3 linked regions of the Alligator mississippiensis genome follow. The protein of the gene in region 1 interacts with the protein of each later gene in a pairwise test. Links are inferred from orthologs where the notes say so. Each region holds a gene or a part of one and is shown on either strand. Other genes may lie near its edges.

Region 1 (6,937 bases):
GGGCAGAGCCCCTCCAGTACAGGGCCATGAGAGAGTTAAGCTGCCAGAGCTCCTGGACCACACTTCCCAGCAGGCCCTGAGCCAGGGAAGTAGTGCATGCTGGGACTTGTAGTCTCCACCCCAGCCCCAGCCCAGCCTGTGCATGGGGGCATGCCTACTAGCCCCTCCTCACCTAAGGAAGCAGTGTAATACTGGGATACAGGACCTCAGCCGCACAGCTCCAATTCAGGGGAATCAGACCCCACAGGAGCAATGCATGGTGGGACACACTGCTCCAGTCCAGGCAGGGCCAGAAACCCCCCCCCCCCCCAAGCAGTGCATGCTGTGACATGTAGCCTCACTCCCACTTCAGGTGAGGGGGGCAGACAATCTAAGGGAGGGGCAAGACCCTACACCCCACACAGAAGCAGTGCATGCTGGGATAAATAACCTCAGCCCCACAGCTCCAGTCCAGGGAGGCAGATAGTCCAAGATAGGCAGAAGGGGACAAGACCCCCACCCCCTCCACAGGAGCAGTGCATGCTGGGACACAGAGCCTCACCCCATTACTCCAGTCCAGGGACAGGGGGGTGAACAGTCAAAGGGGGGGGCCGGGCCCCCCCACAATGCTTAAGTGACCTCGGCATTGGTAACCTTGTTGAGGACGCGGGAGCGCCGGGGCACGCACTCCAGGTCGAAGCGGCTCTCGTAGATGGTAGGGCAGAGGCGCCAGCGGTTGTCGCGGTAGATGCCCAGGTAGGTGTAGACATCGGGCTTGTAGGCCAGCGGGCACTTGACGCCAGCAGCCCGGATGGCAGCGTCGGCAGCTAGCACATGCTCCTCATCTGTGAAGTCATCCGTGTAGACACACACCACGTGGCGCCGTTCACCATCAGGGTGGCAGGGGCTCACCTTGGCCACAGTGAAGCGCCCGTCCAGCACGGCCCGGGCCACACCAGCCCAGGCGTGGTCCACCTTGAAGCCTGTGTCCAGGTGGATGAGCCACTTGCCCGTGAGCACGCCGTGGTTGAGGGCCAGCTCCCGCACTGTGGTGTGGGTCACGGAGCGGCCGCTCAGCTGCAGCCGCTCCCACGCCTCCTGCAAGCCCACCACGTCACCCGCCTCAGGACTGTAGCCGGGACCATACACGGCAATCCAGCCCACGGGCCGTGGGCCATAGCGGGCCACACGGGAGGGCGGGTAGGTGGCCAGCCATGCCTCAAACTCGGCCCGAGGGGTGCGCCGGGCATCAAACACCACCCACGGGTCCATGTCGGCTGCCATTGACTCGGCCGCCAGCTGCTCAGCTGAGAAGGGGCCATCCCGGCCCCCGTCGCCCTCATCCTGGTCTGACATAGCTGCTGGGTCCTGGAGCAGGCACCTGCCAATGCGGGGGAAGGTAGGGGGGAGGTATGGGAAAAGGTCAGGTGTCACAGCTGCCTTATGGGAAGGCTGGGAGGCAGGTGGGCTAATTAGTTTGGAGTGACAAGCTTGTTAGGGTGAGGAGCGGGCAAGGTAATTAGCTCTGAGAAAGGGGCTCTAGCTTTGCACTGGTCAGGCTAATTAGCTTAGGTAAGAGGCAGGCAGACTAATTAATTCTGAGGAAGAGGCTCCCTTGTTTGGCAGGGGCCAAACTAATTACCTTAAGCAGGGGGCAGGCAGGCCAATTAGTTTCAATTAGGGAGGGCAAGCTAATTCAGGTATGGTGCAGGTGGGCTAACTGGCAGGTTGAAAGGCTCATCAGCTTCACATAGGACAGGCAGGCTAATTACCTGGTCAAAGGGGTTTATTTTCAGTAATTGCCCTAGGTTTGGGGCTAATTCACTCCATCAAGGGGCTCTTCAACTTTGCACAGGAGCAGCTAATCAGCACAGGCGGGTGGGCTAAGCTGACTGAAGAGCCTGACTGTTTTGGGAGCTACCGTTAGGGGAAGGCTGCTTAATTAGCCCGAGGATAGTACAAGCGGGCAGGCTAAACAGCTCCAATTGGAGGGGGATGGTTAATTAATTTAGGGTGCAGGCAGCTAATCAGTTGCGATTGGGAAGGGGGCTGGTTAATTAACTTACAGCACAGGGCTAGCTCCTCGGTTGTACGTTTAGCGTTGGTCGGGGGAATCCACAAGCCAATTAACCGAGCTATTAATTGGCTAGCAGCAGGGCTGTCCCTAGGGGGAGGTGAACAGAGGCAACTGCCCTGGGCCCCATGATTTCGGGGCCCCCATGGAGCAGCAGCTCTGCGTCCAGCCGCTCGCTGCACCCCACCAGCCTCTTTGGGTCCGGGGCCCACGGGAGCGAAGCAGGGGCAGGGCCCCGCACCCTGCTCGGGTCATCTCTGCCCGGCAGCTCTCTGCCCGGCAAGTAGCCCCAGAGAGCTGGGCTGGGCTGGGGCTCAGGGAGCGGGAAGGTGAGGGCTCTTTTACCCCCTGCCCTGCGGAGAAGCCCTCCCACCCCCAACGGCTTCTGATTCTGCCCCCCCACCCGGGGCAATCAACCCGCTCCCCCCAGCTGCCTCCACCCCAGGGCACTCAGCCGTGGAGGGACCCGTTCTGCCCCTGCCACGGGGGCCGCCTTACCTGCGGCAGAAGAAGGGAGCCGGGGCAGGGGGCTGCTGCCTGGTGCTGCCCTGGGGGAGAGAGGAGGCAGGTTGAGGCCGCCCAGTACGGGGCCCTGCCCAGCACCAGGTGCCCCCGACGTGCCCCCCAGCCCCATGATCAGCCGGCCCCGCGCCCCCAGCCCCCCCCCCCATAGGAGCCCCCCCAGCCCCATGTGCCAGGCCCCCTCCCCCAGTCGCTGCCCCGCCCCCGTGCCAGGCCCCCCCAGCCCCTCCCCTAATACGAGCCCCCGCCCTCACCTGGCCCCTCTCAGCGGCCCGCGGCCGCCGCCATCTTGAGGGAGGGGGCGGGGCCGAGCCCGGGGGGAGGCAACGGGGGGGGTCGGACGGGGGAAACCGGAAATGGCAGAAGCCGACACGGAGGTGCACGGAGGGTGAAGCAGGAAGTTACGTCTGGACAGAGGCGGAAAGGAGCTGCTCGGGAGGGGAGGACTTCCGGGAGAGGAGGGGGAGGGGAGGGGCTGCAATGAAAGGGCGGGGCCTCCGGGGGCGGGGCCCGGCTCGAAGGTTGCGGGAGGTACCTGGACAGCGCGGGGCGGAGTCAGCGAGACTAGGGGCGGGGCCCTCCCTGGCGGCTGGGGGAGCCCGGTGTGGGGGTAGGGGCGGGGCGTCCCCAGGCCGGGTGCGGGGCGAGCCGGGAAGGCAGTGTTGGGACAGGGCGGGCGCGGGGCAGGGGGCGGGGCCAGGCTGGGATGGGCGGTGCTAGGGCGCGGGGCAGGGGGCGGGGCCAGGCTGGGCGGGCGGCGCTAGGACCGGGCGGGCGCGGGGTAGGGGGCGGGGCCAGGCCGGCGGGCGGCGCTAGGACCGGGCGGGCGCGGGGCGCAGCGGGCCGCGATGCCGAGCAAGAAGAAGAAATACAACGCGCGGTTCCCGCCGGTGAGCCTGGCCCGGCGCCTGGGGCCCTTCCCCATCCTGGCGGGTGGGGGCTGCAGCCCGGACGGCGGGGCCCCTCGGGCGCCGGGTGGTCGCGCCTGGGCCCCTCCCTGGGCCCCCCCCCGGACGCCTCGGTTCCTTTCCGGGTCGTCCCCCCCCCCCGGCCACCCTGACCCCAACCGCCTGTGACCCCTGACCCCGCCCTAGCCGGCCCCGCCCCGCCCCGCCCATCCCCCGGAGCCTGCGCCCCTCTGGCCCCCTTCCCTGTGACCCCGACCTTCCGCCCTCGCCCCCCTCGCCCCAGGGCCTGTGACCTCGGACCTCGCAGCCTCCCCCGGGCCCTTCCCTCCTCCGGGGCTGGCCCCGGGGTATCTGTGGGGCCGGGCGGGTACGCGGCCCCCTGGGCTCCTTTGAAGACGAGGGCCTGGCCCGCATGCCTGGGCCCCTTCCCGGCACCCAGCTGCCTGGGGCCCTTTCTGGGGCCAGGGCCTGGCGCCCGGGTCCCTTCCCGACACTGGGGGTTTGGCAGCCGGACACCCCGGTTCCTCGTGGAGGCTCGGGCCCGGCAGCCTGGACTCCTTCCTAGGGCCGGGTCCAGCGCCCGACGCCTGGGTTGTCTGGGGCTCTGGGGGGGGGCTGGGGGGAGAGGGGTGGGAGCCGGGACACCTGGGTTGTCTCCGGCTGTGGGAGGGGGCAGAGGAGGCATGGGGGATTGCAGCTGAGTCTGGGGTGGGGGCACGGGGAGAGGAGGTCCGTGGGGGGCGTAGCGTAGAGGCATCTGGGAGCCCCCCGGTGCTGGGGGGGCGTGGGGCCCAGTGGATCAGAGCAGGGGAGTCTAGGAGCCCGGCTGCCTGGGTTTGATCCCCAGCTCGGCCATGCGAAAAGGTGGAGAGCTGGGATGCCGGGCACGTGGATGTCTGGGACCTCTGTCGGCTCTGGGAGGGGAGTGGGAGGAGGGGAGAAATAGCCCTGATCTGGGCCTGATCCTGGGGGGCTCTAGCTCAGGCTGCCCCCCCAGCTCTTGACCTGTTCCCACCCCCAGGCGCGGATCAAGAAGATCATGCAGACGGACGAGGAGATCGGGAAGGTGGCGGCTGCTGTCCCCGTCATCATCTGTATCCTTGGCAACGCCTGGACGCCTGCCTGGGTTCTCTCAGGGTCTGGGAGGGGAGCGGGGGCTGAGGGACCGGGCGGATGCCTGGCTTCTCTTGGACTCGGGGAGGGCAGTAGGGGCTGGAGCCCGGACACCTGGGGTCTCTCCCTTAACCCCTGCCTTGCCACAGCCCGGGCACTGGAGCTGTTCCTGGAGTCGCTGCTCAGGAAGGCCTGTCAAGTGACGCAGTCCAGGAACGCCAAGACCATGACCACGTCCCACCTGTGAGTGCCCCGGGTCCCGTCCCCTGGGCACCTGGGTGATCTGCCCGCTCCAGGAGGGGACTGGGGTCTAGGGGATTAGAACAAGGCGTGGGAGGGATCTGGGCTCTCTCCCTGCTCTGGAAGGGGAGTGGGCTGGGGGTGAAAGCGGGGGGGCTGGGAGCCCGCATCCCTGGGTTTCCTCCAGCTCGGGGAGGGGTGGGTTCCAGGGCAACGTTTCTCAATCTGGGGGTTACGACCCAGAAGTGGGTCGCAAGAACATACGAAAGAACAAACTTGAAAGTGAATTCTCCTTTAATGGAGATAAATGTGGGCACCGCGGCTCTTCCCTTGCAGGCGGGCAGAGCTCCAGCCTGCAAGGGGCTACTTGGGCCCTCTGCCCCACGCACTGGGGGCCGGGGCGTGGGGGAGCGGGTTGGGGCTGGCCGCTGAAGTGTAGAAATGGGTCCTGGTACAAAAAAGGCTGAGAATGGCTGTGCTGAGGGATTAGAGCAAGGGGCGGGAGGGGTCTGGGAGCTCTCCCCCTGCCTCACCGTGTCCCCTCTGGACAGTCCCAACCTGGCTTCTGTGCCTCAGTTTCCCCACTTTCAATCAACATGGGCTGGAGGGGCCTGGCAGGGGCTGTGAATCTCCCTGGCAGGGGGAAGTATCCTGCTGGGGGCTGTGGGAGACCTTGGGGATGTGATGGGTTGGGGGGAGGGGTGGGTTGTGGCTTGGCCCTGCCCCCTCTGACCCCCTGCCCCTCCCCCTGCAGGAAGCAGTGCATCGAGCTGGAGCAGCAGTTTGACTTCCTCAAGGACCTGGTGGCCTCCGTGCCCGACATGCAGGGGGACGCTGAGGACAACCACATGGAGGGCGAGCGGGTCTCCCGCAGGTGGGGGTCAGTGCAGGGCAGGGCCAGCAGGGAGTGCTGGGTAGTGAGGGGGTGGAGCCAGGTCTGGGGGGGCAGGGCTAGTGGGAGAGGCTGGGCTGCAGGGGTGGAGCCAGCTCTGGAGGGGCAGGGCCAGAAGGGGGTGCTGGGTGTAAGGGGTGGAGCTAGTGGGGGTGGAGCCAATGAGGAGGGGGTGCTTTAGCTCCACCAGCCCTTGTTGCCCCTGGAAAGCTAAGCAGGGTTGAAGAGGGTCTGTGTGTGGATGGGAGACCACCACTGCCCCTGCTCGGGGACACTTTCCCCATCTAGCACCTGACACCCCTTGGAAGCTAAGCAGGATCAGCTGGGATCACTTTGTGGATGGGAGACTGGGTGCCAATGCCCTGGCAGTAGGGGGTGCTGCAGGGGGGCTCTCTCCTTTTAGGCCCCAATACCCTGGGTGGGGGGTTCATCTGGGCTACCAGGGGCTCCATTGCCCCAAATTCTGAGACCTGCCATGCTGCACCCCAGAGGTGGCTGCAATTTGACTGCACCTACTGGGATTCAACCTGTGGGGGGGGCTCGGCAAGGGACTCTGATGCCTGGTGGGTCTATGCAGGGGCCGGAAGCCGGGCAGCGGGAGGAAGAACGGCGGGACAGGGGCCAAGGGCAAGGACCCTAAGCAGTCGGGCACTGACTCGGAGCAAGAGGTGAGGCGAGGGTGGCCAGGCAGGGGAAACTCCTGGGCACCGGGATGAGGGCAGTGGGAGCCAGGGGGCAAGCCTGAGAGCCCAGACACCGGGGTTCACTCCAGCTGTGAGAGGGGGGTGAGAGCTGGGGGGATGGGCTCCCAGACACCTGGGTTCCCCACACCTCTCTCACACCTGTGCTGCGTCCCTGGGGATGAGCCCCTCCCCTGCCTTGGCCCTCGGTGCCCCCAGCACCCAGCTCTGGGGAGCGCCACCCCTCCAGATGTGTGCCCGGGGGGTGGGGGGCAGGCTCCCCGTGATCTGCCTATCTCCCTCTAGGAGGACTCGGAGGACAGCGAGAGCGACGCTGAGGAGGAGACGTTGCAGACGCTGCCCCCCAGCCGCCCCCCCGCCACGTTCCCCAGGTACTGACCCGGAGCCTGGATTCTCTCCAGGCGTGGCATGCGGGGGCGGGCGCTGGGAGCCAGGATACCTGGGGTCTCTTCAGCTGGGGGGGGGCTGGGGTGTTGGATGCCCAGATGCCTGGGTTCTCTCCCCTTCT
Region 2 (7,910 bases), on another chromosome or scaffold:
TGACGCGGGCACGAGGGGGTGGGTGAGCTGCAGGTCCAGGGGCAAGCAAGACCGGGGAAAACAATTATTAAGCAAGCTTTCGGGTTCAAAAAGGCTTCATCAGGCTAAGGAAGTTTCGGCAGGCGGTGTGCTCTATACGACTATCATTGATCGAGTACAACATTCTGGGTTATTTTTGGTGAAAATAAGGTATCGGGCTTAGGTTCAGGAGCAAATCCCCCATTTACGATATTGTTTCCTATGGGAAAATCGGTTCCGAGTTACGTTTCGATTTAAGACACGGTTTTCAGGAACCAATTGCGTCGTAAGTCTGAGGACTGCCTGTAGTTTGAGAAGGGTCACCAAAATGATTTACAGCGGGATAACTTAAAAATGGGTGCAGCGGTATTGGTACCAGTTTATTCTCCACCTAGAACAGTGACCCACCAAGATAAGGTGCCTTTAAAGTCAATTAATTACATCTGCCCTTGAGGGAAGGCAGCCCAGTCTGCCATAAAGCAATGACATGAACGACGCGTGCCCCCGGAGGCTGGGGGGCACAGGGACCGCCTGCAGGCGGTGTTGGCAGCCGGGCAGGCCGAGTGGGGAGCTCCCAGAGGTGGCCACGGCGGTGTCGGGGGCTAGGCAAGCGCTGGCTGGCAGTCGGCAACCATCTGCAGACACTGCTGGTGGTGTTGGCAGCAAGGGGGGCCGTGGCAAGGAGCGAGTGGCAGTGCTTTTCATAGGGAGTGCACCGCCGATCTGAGGAGGTACACGTGCACCCGCGTGCACCCCCTACATGTCGCCAATAAGCAATGATGTGGGGTAGACTCTTTAGAAAAAAAAAATTATTTATGGGTGCGCCAATAGAGATTTGGGGGGCCAATACCGATAGCCAATTTTTAAGGAGGCTTATCAGCAGATACCAATCCAATTTCCGATACAGCTGCATGCAGCTGGTAAATCTGTTGTGGTGGATGGGGAGGGGCGGGGGGCAGATCAAGGTCCCCCATGGTGAGGGAGGGAGTGGGGCTGGGGCAGGTGCTGCCCAGCTAGGGTAGGGCAGGTGTGGGATGGGGGGCATGGGGGCTCCCGTTGTTGTGTGCACCCTGGGAGGGCATGGGGTGTGCGTGTGCCCCACAGATCTGCATGGGGCAGGGCAGGCTGCAGCTGTGGGCTGGGGCTGCACCAGGCTCTTCCCAGTGGGGGCTGCAGTAGGTGGCTGCCACGGTGCTGGGAGGGGCTATGGTGAAATTTGGGGTGGCTGCAGCCCCCCCACGTAAGCCCCCTCCCAGTGCTGTCACCCCCACCTCCCCAAGCACAGCCTGGCCCAGCCCCAGGGGGAAGAGCCCAGCACAGAGCCAGTCCACAGCTGCAGCCCTCCCTGCCTGCACCCTGCACAGACTTGATGGCACACCACCCGTGCCCTTCTGGGCACACGCCCCCCCCCATTGGTGGGGCACAGCAGTGGGAGCTGCCCCCCCTCTGTCCTGCACCCCACCCTGCCCCGGCTGGGCAATGTGTGCCCCAGCCCCACTCCCTCCCTCGTTGTGGGCCCCCCAGCCCCTTCCCTCCCCTCTCCCCTTCCACCACAACAGAATTACCAGCTGCACACAGCTCTCCATGTTGCTGGGCTGTGCTCCTCGCTGCCTGCATCTGTGCGCATGCACAGGCATTTATCTGCCCAATTATCAGAGACATCAGGCTGATTCCCGATACAGTTCATTTTCTTTTTATTGGTGCCGATCCAATATTTATCGGTGCACCTCTAATATTTAATTTTTCTGGAGTTGTTTTGTCTTATTTTCCCAAAAACTGGGGAGTGACCAAGATTTTGAAGACTGAAAGTGCGTAACCTGGACTCTCAAATGGCAGCTGGATATAGATGCTCATAGATTCAGAAATTGTAAGGGGCCAGAAGGGACCTTGGAAGATCATCAGGTCCAGTCCCCTGCACCAGAAAGGAAAGACAACTGGGGTCTGGTGACTGGGGTCAGTCTCCTCTTGAAGATCTCCAGAGTAGGTGATTGCACTACCTGTGGAGGGAGCTTATTCCAGTCTGCACATCCTGACTGTGAAGACGTTTTCCCCTAATGTTGAGTCTGAAATGGTCTTCCAGGAGTTTGTGGCCATTACTCCTGGTTTACCCCAAGGGTGCCCTGGTGAACAGTTGTTCACGGAGCCTTTGATGTACTCCCCTAATGTAGTGTGGTAAGCTACCAGGTCCCCTCTGAGCCTTCTCTTTTTCAGGCTTGAGTCCCAGGTCCCTCAGCCTTTCCTCATATGTCTTGCCTTGAAAGTCTCTGATCATATGGATGGCCCTTCTCTGGACTCTCTCAAGCTTTTCCATATCCTTGTTCAAGTGCACTGCCCAGTACTGGACGCAGTACTCCAGCTGCGGTCTCACCAATGCCAAGCAGAGTGATAGAATCACCTCCTTGACTTGGTTTCATCTATGAACTTGGACCCACATCCAAATCATTGATGAAGATGTTGAAAAGCACTGGACCAAGCATGGACCCCTGAAGAATGTCGCTGACCACTTCTTGCCAGGACAACTCAGGACAGTTCATTAGGACTCTTTGAGGCTTACCCCGCAGCCAATTTCCTACCCACCTGACCATCTTGGAGTTAAGCCCACAATCCTCCCATTTTCTCATGAAGACATCATGGGATACCAGACCAAAGGCTTTTTGGAAGTCAAGGTATACAATGTCATATGGAAAAGCTTCCCTCAAAAAACAAAATCTTTTGCATTGTGACAGCTTAGTATTGTCTGGGATGGGACACTAGGCCTATTGACACAGTCAGATGGGGGAAAATCAATAAGTTGTAGTTCTCTATAATAAAACCCTAAACCACGGTCCAGTAGAAAAAACAAATCAATAATGCAAATGACACACTTTGGAATATATTAGGAAACCCTTACTACAGTCAGTCCATTATCTTCCTGCCCACAGCACCATTAAAAAGAAAAAAAAAGTGATCTTTATTAACGACAGAGGAAGCTCATAGAGTAAGAAGAACCACCAATAAATGTGTGGCATTGGTTGCTTTTCCTTTTAAAATATCACTTTATCTCAGGTCAGTTGCAGTTATCTAAAGAAGAGAGAGCAGCAATGGGGTCTGCTGTATGAAAGAACCACTTTTGATCACCTTACTAATAATTGCTAGGCTATCTGTGATGAACTTAAAAGAGATGCTGACAGAATGCAAATAATATTTTAAGACCAGCTAGCTAAAAGTACATTATTTTTAAACGAAATATCCTGATTGTGCATTGCTTCTGATTTTGCAAGTATCCTGATCTACCTCTGACAGATTATTAAAACTGAAATCACACGCAGCACTTAGGGCTTAGCTTTTACCATTTAAGCCCTGGCATTGTTTTCAGCATTTCGCTGAGTTTCAATTGCGCATTTTTTCAAATCGTTTTCCCGTTCCCACATACAGGGCACAGCACTGCCATGCTTTTCTTGCAGACAGCGCAGGAGCTTGTTTGCATCCAGTACTTTCACTGACATCTTTTGTTAAAAGAGACTAAACCACATTAATCTGAAATCAAGAAGGCAGAGTTGATTTGCACTTTGTAGGCTAACCAGATATATATCTAACCAGATACAGACTAAGGAAAAGCTTGGGCTAGATAGCTGGGTACACACACACCTATGAATTGAGCTTCGGCTCTGGAAATTTGTGCTAAACACATACGCTGTCATTTGATTAATATATGTATATGTATGCATACACATGTACGTGTGTTTTTATGCATCTCTCTCTCTTTGGCCAGTCTGTAAGGTACAAATGCCTTCGACATTTTTTAAGAAGAGCCAAAGACAGTGCTGCGAACACACAGGCTGTAAAACTGGGTTTTATTCCCCTTGGAAACCCCTAATCACCCTGAGCCTGGTCTAGCTAGACCAGTCCTTTAGCACAGCGGGTCTCAACCTTGTTTGTACCAGGACCCACCATGGAAACATCCACGGCCAGTCCAGACCCAGTGAATAATTTAGGTAGAAAACACATGGGGCATGGGGGTGTGTTTGGGGCACAAAGGTGTGGGGGGGGCACAGGGAGGGGCAAGGGTGTGCGTGGGGGGGTATTAGGGAGTGTGGGAAATGGGGGGTATGTGTGGGGCACAGAGTGGGAGGGTGTGCGGGGCATGGGGGGGGTGCGCAGTGCATGGGGGGCCATGGGGGTGTATGTGAAGGTCATGGGGGGCTATATGGGGGAGGGCCAAGGGGTGGGGGGAAGGGGGACACACAGGGGTGTACATGTGGGGCACATGGGGCGTGGGGGACATGGGGGTGTGCAAGGCATGGGGGCACCAGGGAGTGTGGGGGGATGTGCAGGGCATGGGGTGGTGTGGGGGGCATGGGGGACACAGGGTGTGTGGAGGCATAGGGGTGTCAGGGGGACATGGGGATATATGTGTGGGACACAGGGGTGTGTGGGGGGGACTTAGGGACCGTATGGGGGCCACTAGGGTGTAGGGGGGACGGGGAGAGGGGGTGCAGGACACGGGTGTGACACACGGAGGGGGAGACCCGCCAGGCCGCAAGGTAAGAGCCGCTTCCCCCCTTTTTCCTCCTTGAGAGGAGAGCCCGCTCTCCCCTGCCTCTCGTCCCTTCGCCGCACTGCCGGGCCCGAGCCGCGGTGCTGTGGCGGGGCCCGGGGCCCCCGCGCTGGGCTGGGCTGGGCTGATCCGTGGGGCCCGGCGGCGGGCGGCCCGGACCCTTGTGACGCGCGGAGGCCCCGCGCCGCGCTGTGACGCTCCATGGCGCCGCCGGGCCCGACCCACGTGGTGGTGGGGGCGGCGCGCCGGCTCAGGCATCGCGCGGGGCAGCCCCGGGAGGCGGGCGGCGACGGCGCAGGCAGTGCGGCGGGCAGCCCCGCGCTGGCCCCCTATATAAGCGGCGCGGGGGCCTGCGGGCGCGGCCCTGTCACGCTCGCGCGGGAGGCGGCGGCTGAGGTGGCGATGGCGGACTTCGATGCCTACGACGATCGGGCCTACAGCAGCTTCGGCGGCGGCCGCGGGTGAGCGCGGGCCGGGCTGGGGTCGGGGGCCGCGCGCGGCGGTTCCTGCCGGTCCCCGGGGAGCCCGGGCCTAGCGCCGGGCGGGGCGGGCAGAAAGGCGGGTTGGAGCCGGGCCGCAGCGCAGGGGGAGCCGGCCCCTCCGCGCCGTCGGGTGGCGGGAGCGCCTGGGCGGTGGAAGCAGCCTTTGGTCTGAGCGGGGCCCCGGCGGAGAAGAGCATTGTGTGGCCGTGCCCACCGGGGCGGTGGGGCTGCAGGTCTGGTCGCCCCTGCCCCGAGGCAGCATCCTCCCTAACCAAACCCGCCCGCACAAGTCCTTGCTCAAGCACCCGGATCCAAACCGGCTGCGGATGGAAGACTCCCCCGTTAATTAAATGCTCTGCGTGGGACGCCTGCTACGTTTGCTCTCACTTTTCACGTATAGGATCTAATTCTTGCTGGGACGAGGTTATTCTTTCCCCATGTTGAATGGGGGACGGATGGACACGGACCTTCATCTTGGCTTCGGGTTAATGTGGTGTTACTAAAACCAGAAATTCGAGTAACGGTGGTGTTACTACTGCCCTCGCCTTGGATTCGAGTAACACCCTCATCTTAGACTCAAGTAAAGGTGGTGTTACTAAAACCCTTCTCTTGGACTTGAGTAAAGGTGATGTTACTAAAACCCTCCTTGGATTTGAGTAAATGCCAGGTTATTAAAACTATACCGTTGAACCTGTCTCTCAGCTGCAAGGCACAGTTAAAACACCACAGGTTCAAGCAGGGTGACAAGGGCAGTTGGTGTCCTGCTGCTGCAACAATTGTTAAAATAGGCTGTGTTTTAAAATAGGAACAAATTTGAAAATAGCTTGAAAGAATAGAATTTTTAAAATTAATTCCAGCAACTCTGGATGTTGTAGAGCAGCGGCGAAGGCGCTTGGTGAACAAAAATTTCTGTGAAAAGCTCAAGACATAACAATTTAAGTTAACCTAGCGTTAATGTGTTTTTTTCCCCTCAAATATTCCCAACAGCTGCCGTGTTCCCAACGCTTTGGCCCTTGACTCATTAGGTACTGAGTGTAAGTTGCATTGAAGGAGCTGTACTTTGCACGTCTGTAGAGCGTGTGGCTTGTACAGTACAGAGCCATGTTCGTGTGGGTCTGTGCAGACAAGCCAGGGGTCTGTCCTGAGGTAGTATTAAAATACAGGTCAGCTTTAATAAACTAAGGGCTGCAGTGGAGGCAGTGTATCTTTCAAGCAAAGGGCAGATTTTACTTTTTGTTTTGGTCATTATTAAAGTAGAAAATAATCAGGGAGATTCAGTAAGTATCTAGTAGGCAACCATCAATACTCTGGGTCACGGTGAGTGTGTAAAAGGTCTAGTCGGGTGCCTGATGAGTCTGCTTGTATGGAGTCCTGTGACCATCACACCAAGGTCATGGATGCTTGTGCCTAGGCAAGAGCGCAGAGGAGGGGAGGCTGCCGAAGACCTGTGTGGCCCCCCCCCCCCCCCCCCCCCCCCCCCCCCCCCCGTTCAAAAGCCAGAGCGAGTCCAGACGTTCAGCGCCTCAATGGTTGTAGTTCAGGGCTGGGCAATTATTTTGGGTGGAGGGCTGCTTACTGAGCTTTAGCAAGCCATCGAGGACCGCATGACAGGCAGCCAGGGGCAGATTAATATTCCCTAAATTTTTTAGGGGGCCCACGGGCCAGATAGAATGTCCTGGCAGGCTGCATCTGGCCCACGGGCTGCATTTTACTGTTGTAGCTTGTTGCAGAGAACAGCAGGTAAGAACTGCTGCTGACTGCCAAATGCCTCAGCAAGGGTGCGTTTCTGTCAGGGTGATGTCCCTTAGCCTTTCTCCAACCAAGGAGTTACCCACAAGGCGATGGGGGCTAGGGTTTTGAGGTGCCCTATGCTCGCCTTACTCTGGAGGTTGCAACACTGTGGTTTTTTTAATAGGAGCTGCCCTGCCGTGCATTGCCCTGTCACGTTTTCCCCCAGCCCTCCAGTTAGATGGGACTTACAGTCCTACCCAGGACCGTAGTATCTAGGACACCAACTAATATCTATAGGTGAAGGAATATGTTCCCTTTGATTTTATTTTTCTTTTTCATAGAAACAAATACTTAATTGGAATGTAGTTAAACCTTATGCTTGACGCTTCTGAATTAATGCCATTTTCTTAAATTCTAAAGTTATTTCTTCCTTTACCGTGTCCATTTCAGGAATTAGCTCTGATTGGAGGATGAATGTAGCATGATCCATTGAGACTTTACCAAAACAGAAGCTATTATGTTAATTTAAGTCATAACACTTTGACCAATGGAAACTGTTTGCACTGTGTCAAATAGAAATACGTATGGAAACTGGTTTGATTTTCAAGCACAGATTAAAATGTAACATTGTTTACCATCTCAGATATTTGCCTTTCACTTCCACTTATCATTGTCTGTTGTGCTGATTAGTATCGTTTCACTGTTTGCTTATTCTTCCAAATGCTTATGACAGACAGGCATTGTCATTTATCTAAAATATCTGGGGCAGCACCCAACTGTACAGTACCTAGCTAGACTCTGGCTTGTAACTGGGAGTCCCGGTGCTGCAACAGCACAAGTAATAAATGCAACACCTTTTGCTACATAACAATGGCGTGGCAGTCTAATGCATTCCTGTAGTTCAAACCAGCTATCTCCTTAAGTCAGAGTCAGTGCTTCCTTTAGTTTGAGGAAGGTAGCCAGGAGTAGGAGTGTTGCTGCTTTCCCTTGAAGTGGTTTTTACTTTATTTGCATAATTGACCCATACAGGGTGAAACAGGTGAATAAAGTAGCCTGTTGAACTTGCATGACCTGTTGTTACGATCTAAAAATCATACAGAAGTCAAGCCTAAGAAATTCACTTGTCAAAACCTGTCAGGGAT
Region 3 (7,780 bases), on another chromosome or scaffold:
TCAGAGACCAACAGACCTTGTTTTGGAAAGGCAGAATAAAAGGAATACAATATTTTTCCAGTCACGGCTGAATCCTGTTTATAGCTACTCAGGCAAAAGCTACAGTTTTAGCTCAGTCGTAGCCAGGCACGTTAGCAGCAGCCATTTTTGGCTGCTTGGGCAAAAGCTACTGCTAATTAAGCAGAAGCCATGAAAAGGTTAAAACTATGATGCTGCAGAGTGCGCTCTTTTACCTCCTCCCTCTCTACAGCCATAGAAAATAGCAGAGCTCTAGCAGCAGTTACAGCATCCCTGTGCTTTTTATTCCAGCACAGACATCAGCCTCCCAGTTAAAAATGTACACCCCAATTGGGAGGGCTGATTCGGGGGGGGGGAGGGGGGGAAGATATGTGGTGTACAAGTAAATATGGTAAATCTGACACAAACAGCCTGTATGTTAGACATGGGCAACAAGTAAATAGGATTTTCTGCCAGTTCTTCAGAACGGGGGGGGGGGGGACACCCTCTAAAATAGTTTAGCTTTGAGACAATTAACTTCACATTTGGAAGACCAATAGATTTAAACAGATAAAAATAGGCTGTATTGATGACATAAAACTAAATCTTTGACTTAACACAAACAAGTTTTATTTTAAAGATACCCTAAAACATCAGGTTGCTTGATAAATGCTCTATGCAGTGCCCTCCATGAAAATATTCCCCACTTACTCTTTTACATTTGTCAGCTTTAACACAGAATTACCATCCTTCTTAAATTTAATCTGCTTTCACCAGTTAAGGTAATACAACTGTTAAAAAAAAATTAAGCCTTCACAGTATTAAAATTATTCCCATGCTGAACTAGTCTCCAGGCTTATGTTTTAAGAGGACATAAAGCGGCCTTTTAAGAATCCAGGTGTAGCTAAAATTTTGTGGTATAAATAACACACACATGAAAACATCTAGATATCCTGTGACATGCAGGAGCTGGCAACTCTATAAAAGAGCTTGATTTAAGTTAGTAAAAATGAATCCAACCACTCTTCAACATTTCATCCCCAAGACATCTTACATGCACTTCCTTCTAAAATGTATTAATAAAGGGTTAACCAGCACTCTTCAAACACTGCTTGCTTAGGTTTATAAAATGTTAATAGAAAATGTATTGCAAAGGTTCCAACATCCAGGTTTTGCTACTTTAAAATGGAAATTTGTTATATATCCTTTAAAACTAACACTAGTTACTAGTTAGTACTGACAAACAGCCTGAAAATGTGCTACAAGAACTGTAACACTGATTTCTCCAAATAGCACAATCAAGACAAGTTGCGCTCGACACGCATTTTGAACACTACAATGAATGTTTTCAGGCACTGCAGTTCCCAACGCATCTATTTAGGACACGGACCAAGGCTTCCCTTTGTGTTATCAGGTATCTATATTCTAGGTTTGTTATAACTTCAAGCAGAAGAATTCACAATTAGTTAACTCCACACATTTACTAGAGTTGGAAAGTTTTGGAACAGCTTAAAAATAGCAAGCTTGGATACTGCAAAACAAAAAAGTCATTTTAATTCACTAAAGTACGCTGTTAGAAACCATTCGTATTACACTGCATACCAACAAGAGTGATGTTACTGAACTTGAGGGGCACAACACAACTGGCTGTGAATGCTCCAACAAGTATATACACTGTTAAGCAGAATTAACATTAAACCCAGGGCAACAGCCACACACTTGCAATGGCCGAGCACTGCTCTTTGAGAAATCACAACAGTGCTCTGCATGGTGCCACAAGAGAAGGGACAATTGACAGCCCCAAAAGGTCCACATTTGCAGCTTCCCTAGAGGATGTCACCTGGAAGCATGTTACAGATCTGTTTTCTTTTGGAAGAAACTTGCAGTGGGTGACAACGGGAACCACAGGGTGCTGTTTTCCTACCCTCCTTTAGGTTATACTTGCTTGGCCTATAAATCAATAACACACGGCCCTGAGAGCACATAGGGAATAAGAGGCAGTTGCACACATGGCAGTTGAGAAGAGTGGGGAATATTAATGCTTGAGTGATAACATCTCTGAAATAAATACCCCTAAGCTTTCCAATTGGCTTAGAAGGAACTGGATTCTTTTACTTGTTGAAAGCATTTGGTATTAGAAGCGTTAGAAAGTGAGAACATGTGTTCAAGACAGACAGTTCCCAAGATCCCCCATGCTTCTGAAACACACAGGTGCATAGACTGCTACCCTGACTTACAGATCTCTGATACAGGGGGGTCCTCTTCTGTTTTTTAGACCCAGATGAGGTAGAAGATGAGGAGAAAGATAAAGGAAGAGAAGGTGGGGGAGCTGCAGGAGGGGGGAGAGGATCTGATGACACAGTATAATGGTTCTCCATCTCACACAGCTGTGATAACATAGTATAATGTTATAACTAGTCAATATTTGGCACAACTTTAAAAATACATCCAAGTCACTGCTAATCAAGTCCAGGTCCTTTAAGAGGTTACACTAATTAGAGCTTTACATTGGACTACTAGATCAACATGCCACTGGTCTTCACAGATTTCTGCAACGTTTTCAAGGACAAGAGTGTGGAGGCCATTTCTAGTTCTCTTCTTCCTCACTTCCCACTTGCAGTGTGGCTCAAAGTAGTAAAGGTATGGCCAGGCCATGCAGAAAGCCAGTAGTCACAAAGACAAGACACCCATTGGAGGTATTATGCATGAAACAAAACACAGTTGCTACAACATTACACACGTGCTATTCAGTTCAGCTGCAATTGTAACAGCACTGCTAAAAACCTGCTAAGCCATGCAGTCCTTTCCATCACAGTCTGTTTTCCAGCAGGAGTACAACTGGTGATATTCTACTATCTTCCTTTCTCTTGCATGATATGAAACCGTGAACAAAACAGGGTTATTTCAAAGGAAGCAGTGGTACATCCCTCAAATTGAACCAACAGCTCAAACAGGCCCTGGTAAGGCTGTGGGAGCCATAAATCCAAAAAAAGAAAAAAGCTAATCCTACATTTTGGGGGGGGGGGGGGAAAACACATGACACTCAACAACTAACTTCCCCATCACCAGAGTGTTTCTTCAGAGTCCAGATACTTAGCAGTATACTAGCATGCCTGCTAACAAGCAGTCATACTTAAGAATCAGAAGACCAGGCACAACTGAGATAACCCACGTCTTGAGGAAAGTTTTGCTTTTATCTCTATTCATCTTCCTGCTTGTTACAGAAAATTCCCTTAGACTGGAACAGCAGAACAGATGAGGTCAAATCCTGAGGGCTACTACATGCCCGCAACTCCCAACAACCGAAAACAAAAAAAAGTTGCAGGTATTCAACAGCTTACCCAATTTGATCCTCTGTGCAATTCCTAGAACTGCACCCTGCTGTTAACTGGTGTGACAACTATTCTCCACTTGGTATACTGTACTCAGCAACTTCACTAACAGCCCTAGTTTAGGAACTTAATCTTGCTGCCAACGCATTCACCACATTGTTAGAAAGCCAGGAAGCATGCTATAGAATGATGTCCTCTTGCACAAAGCTAGAGTACAAGTTAGAACACCACATTGTTCTGATTATATTATTGTAAGCCATAATGTACAGGTATAAGTAACTGCCTAACCGCTTAATCTTAGCTCTATATACGCTGTTCCTATTTTATCACTATTAAGACTACCTTATCAAATGATGCCCCGAACAAATCATATCATGTTTAAATTTATCTAAACGCTTGATGCGTTCCCACAGCATTTGGGAAAAAGTATCAGGTACTAAGAATTATAAATCTTTAGAGAATACCCAAAGAATTTCTAGCAAAAATGTTAGTATAAGCTATGAATTTGGAAGTCTACTCAAATGCAAAATTCGTAATGCCAGCATCTGTCTGGACTAGAAATGCTCAAACACCTTTGTGTTCTCCTCACAGGTTCAGCTTAGGGTGATGTGGCATGTTCTCTGCAACAGCTGCAAATCACTGGAATGCAGTAAGCCTAAAAAGAAACAAATCTACAGCTTCATGAGGGTATTTAACACACTAAGCTGCTTGAATTGCCTCTTGTTGTTTTAACAGCACTTACTCAGTGTTACACTGAACACGTGGCACCACCCTGAAACGATGCACTACCAGCATAAACCAACCCAGAACTTAGGTCCCTGCTCTCTCCGCCCTTCAAAAGGAGCATCTACACTTGTACGCACCCTCCCACTGGCTGTCTTTAACATGTGCAGAGACCAAAAAAGAAACCTGTATCCTGCAAACAGCCAGCGAGGAGATGGGATGTCTAAGAGAGGGAAACAAAATGGATTTCAAAGTGAAACTCACCCAGTGACAGCAGAGGTCAAGCCACTAACTCATTCTGAAAGAGGTCCTGAGAGGACAGTCACCTTCTCTGCTAAGAGCACTCTGTCCCCCCCACAGTCCTCACATTGTGTCAACAAAATTAGCCCTTCCCACTTCATAAATTTACCTGTCAGAGAGATTTCTGTATCAGAGATAGCCATCACTAATGAAACTACTGCAATTGTATTGACAGGAGTTATGTAGTTCAGAATAACCAAAGCCAACCAGGTAAACATCTTGCTGTCATTTTTCTAGCTCAGAAGAGGTTGCTGCATTAGGTCAATTGAGTTAATTGGGGTTTGATTTTAAAAGGAGTGCTACAAGAGTACAAAATAATTTAATGACTAGCCAAAAGATGATCACTTTGTTCAAACTGGAGATGCATTGCCTAAGTTGATACTAACATAGGAAATGGGGTAGAATATGGTATAGAAAACTCCATCTTCTTTCCTGTTTGCCATATCTGTTCAGCAATCCCAACTTCATTTTATGATACTGCACGAATAAACTCAACTGAACTAAACAAAGACAACCTATCACTTTACATACGTTACTTGTACAGTCTCAGCACAAAAGCTACCCTTTAGACAGATTCCGTTAGAGGCCAGATCAAAGACCCCGGAACGGTTGCACTAGTCCATAAAAGTTACATTTGGGTTGATTTGTGCAACACAAGCCAGATGCTTTTGGCTGGACTGGACTCATGGTTGCTATTTATCTTAAAATGTTCACTACCAGTGGCAGACCTCTCTCAAATCTAGCCTGTCACCTTACTGAATAGAATTCCAAAATCCTGCACTATCACCATTTAAAAAAAAGATTCCTCCCACACCTGCCCCGAGGGATCCAGATATATCAGTTCATTCTGCTTTATATCAAAAGACAGCTGAAGAAAACAGACACTTTGGGAAATGTCTGTATTCACAAGATTGTCACATGTGACTGCTGATATATGGCTAATAATGGAAAGCAATCTACACAGATCCCACAAGTATTTTAAAAAAATGCAAGTATAATGGAATTTGGAGCCATAAATTCTACCTTCATACATCTGAAACCAGGACTAACCTATGCAAAAGCAGAATTTAATTTTAAAAACTGCTACTGAGGTATTTAATGCCAAACAGTCACATGTTTTGGAAGAATTTGTAGCTATTTATGGATAGTACATGCACCAACCTCGCAGTGATATTCAAATATTGCACTTTCAGTAGTATTTGCTGATTCTTCTGTTTCAGCGCACGTTTCAAAGGATGAAGATAGTTACAATAAAAAAAAACAAAACAAAAAAAACTAGCGAGAGAAATTGATCTATCAAGCTAATAAAGAATACAACGGCTGCTGTACTGGGCAGTTTCAGCACAGCACTGGAGAAAACAAGGACTATTAGCAGCGTTGGGACGTGCTTTTTTTTTGAAGCTGTTGAGTAGGCACAAACTTCTTGTTTCAGATCAAGTGTTGTGTCTTCAGTGTAAGTTTACTCTTCTTTGGTCTTATGTTGTTGTTACGATGTAGGTTCCTTTCCTGATCTGAACTTGAAGCAGCAGTTTCAGGTGGTAAATTCTGTTCTGTTACACTTCATACTGGAGAAGAAAAAGAAACACATTTTAAGCACAACTTTGAAAGAAGACGTATCACTGACTGTCCCCAAGAGTTCCTACAACCAGATACTTTGCCACTACCTTAATGCCGCAGGTTTGTTCCATGTCGGGAAAGATAATTTACTTTTACAGATGTACTCTAGTATTCCTGGTTTTGGTCTTGGATTCCCCAGAGGATCCACCTCCAACCAAGGTGGAAAAGAAATGTTTCCAACACATGACGGTCTCTTCAGATCCAGTAAGCCTTTCCAAGAAAGCTCCCGGTTTTTATTTATACGTAACAACAAAACAGCAACCTTGCTTTGATCAGTATCAGGTGAATGATGGGCACAATTTAATACAAATCTGAATCTCTTCCTCTGATTTATGATGCTTATTTGACAGCATTTTAAGTGTATTCATTATCAGTTAAATCAACAAGCCTCCATGCATGTAGCAAAGGGTCTTCTACACAGCAGCAGGGAGAGAACAAAACCTTGAACTAGAGCATCACTGTAGACATAACAGACCAGTCAGGTACAGGGTGGTACCAAAAATTCCTTTTTCTACTATGCTGTATGTAGTTCTGGTTGACATCCTAGTACAGTTCTGCATTTCCCAGGAGACAAACAGAAATCAATACCCAATACATAAGGTTATGTCAAAGTCTGAAGGAACAGTAGAAAGAGTTTTTCTTCAAGTAAAATTCGGGCATTTCTCTAAGCTACTTAAAACGGGAGTATATCCTGTTCACCCATTCTCAGTTCACCAGCAGGAAAAAAAAAACAGAAACCAAACAGTGAATTCCCATAATCCCCAGACACTTGGCTGGCAAAGGAGACTCGCTCAGCCTGTGCTAGGAGTAATTTTTGCAGCATCACCCTCCATTTCTCTGAAAGGCTTGAAATGGACAGCTACTCCAGAGAAATTAGTACCCTCCTCTTCCCACCTGGGAGAGTTCCCTGTGTAACACTGACTAGTTTATTGATGTGAACTCATCTCGATGAAGGGAAAGGCTCTGCTCGCCTGAACCCATAGCTGTATCACAGCTGTGTTGCCAAGGCGACAGGAGAGGGCTAGCAAATGATGCAGCAGCAGCAGAGGACCTCTCTGCAGGTCAGACCTCCGCTGGACCCCCAGCCTAATGACACAATCAGCAGGGAGAGAGGCAAAGCCATCTTTTGTACTGTCATGAGAGCTCCAAATGCAGACTGAGTCCAGGCCCCACTACAGGGAGAATCTAGGCAGCAACCAAAGCCCAGGATCCCTCTTCATAATTTCTGGATAAAGTGAGGGAAAATTTAAAGGGGTGGGGGGGAGAAGCGCATGTATTTTTCTCCACAAGCCATCTTTAGTAGTACTCAGCACACTCAAGTCAGGAAGAAAATATGGGTGCGTGTGGTACCCTTCACCCCCTTAACCCTGAGCACTAGAAACAGCTCCACAGTGCTGAATCACTCACTGTTTTCAGCCTTTATAGCTCTAAATAAAGCCTTCCAAATATAACAAAAAATAATTCCCCTCATATTTTCTGTGCCATTAAAACAGATGAGCAAAATAAGTCTCCTTTTCTGCGCATGACTGCGCCAGAAAACAAGGCAGGTTTTTTTCCCCCTTCTAAGAAAAAATGTTTTTAACATTAGTTTTATTATAGGTAAGACCTCTTACTCCACTGTGTTAATACTTGATCAGGAACAGGTTACTTCTGTTCACATTTCATATATGCACACACATGCGTGTGTCAGCTCTGCACTTTATCCAGCTTGTTGTAACCGCTGACCAAAACACCTGCCAAATTATGAAGGCATTTAGGAAGCGATTCTGGGAAATGCAGTCCAAGCATGATTTTAGACCTCTCTCCACTCC

Evidence for each region. The genes of interacting proteins can lie anywhere in the genome.
Region 2: the proteins of C15H11orf68 (region 1) and EIF4H interact in binary tests that used the Homo sapiens proteins (3 or more experiments, as listed by UniProt). The two-hybrid records come from large-scale screens. The link is inferred for Alligator mississippiensis from reciprocal best matches to the Homo sapiens genes C11orf68 and EIF4H.
Region 3: the proteins of C15H11orf68 (region 1) and CSDE1 interact in a two-hybrid assay, tested with the Homo sapiens proteins (2 studies listed by BioGRID and IntAct). The link is inferred for Alligator mississippiensis from reciprocal best matches to the Homo sapiens genes C11orf68 and CSDE1.

What each region holds. Positions count from the first base shown.
Region 1 is NC_081838.1:4,275,375-4,282,311, forward strand, and holds the start of C15H11orf68 (UPF0696 protein C11orf68 homolog), read right to left. Parts: upstream 3,002-6,937; 5' UTR 2,830-3,001; intron 2,602-2,829; 5' UTR 2,552-2,601; intron 2,144-2,551; 5' UTR 2,046-2,143; intron 1,361-2,045; 5' UTR 1,336-1,360; coding exon 610-1,335; 3' UTR 1-609. Other genes in the region: DRAP1 (dr1-associated corepressor), read left to right, coding at 3,424-3,465, 4,505-4,577, 4,746-4,839, 5,591-5,716, 6,306-6,396, 6,715-6,800.
Region 2 is NC_081837.1:13,864,443-13,872,352, reverse strand, and holds the start of EIF4H (eukaryotic translation initiation factor 4H), read left to right. Parts: upstream 1-4,905; 5' UTR 4,906-4,957; coding exon 4,958-5,016; intron 5,017-7,910. UniProt on the Homo sapiens protein: Stimulates the RNA helicase activity of EIF4A in the translation initiation complex. Binds weakly mRNA.
Region 3 is NC_081837.1:45,638,475-45,646,254, forward strand, and holds the start of CSDE1 (cold shock domain-containing protein E1), read right to left. Parts: upstream 3,006-7,780; 5' UTR 2,397-3,005; coding exon 2,235-2,396; intron 1-2,234. UniProt on the Homo sapiens protein: RNA-binding protein involved in translationally coupled mRNA turnover.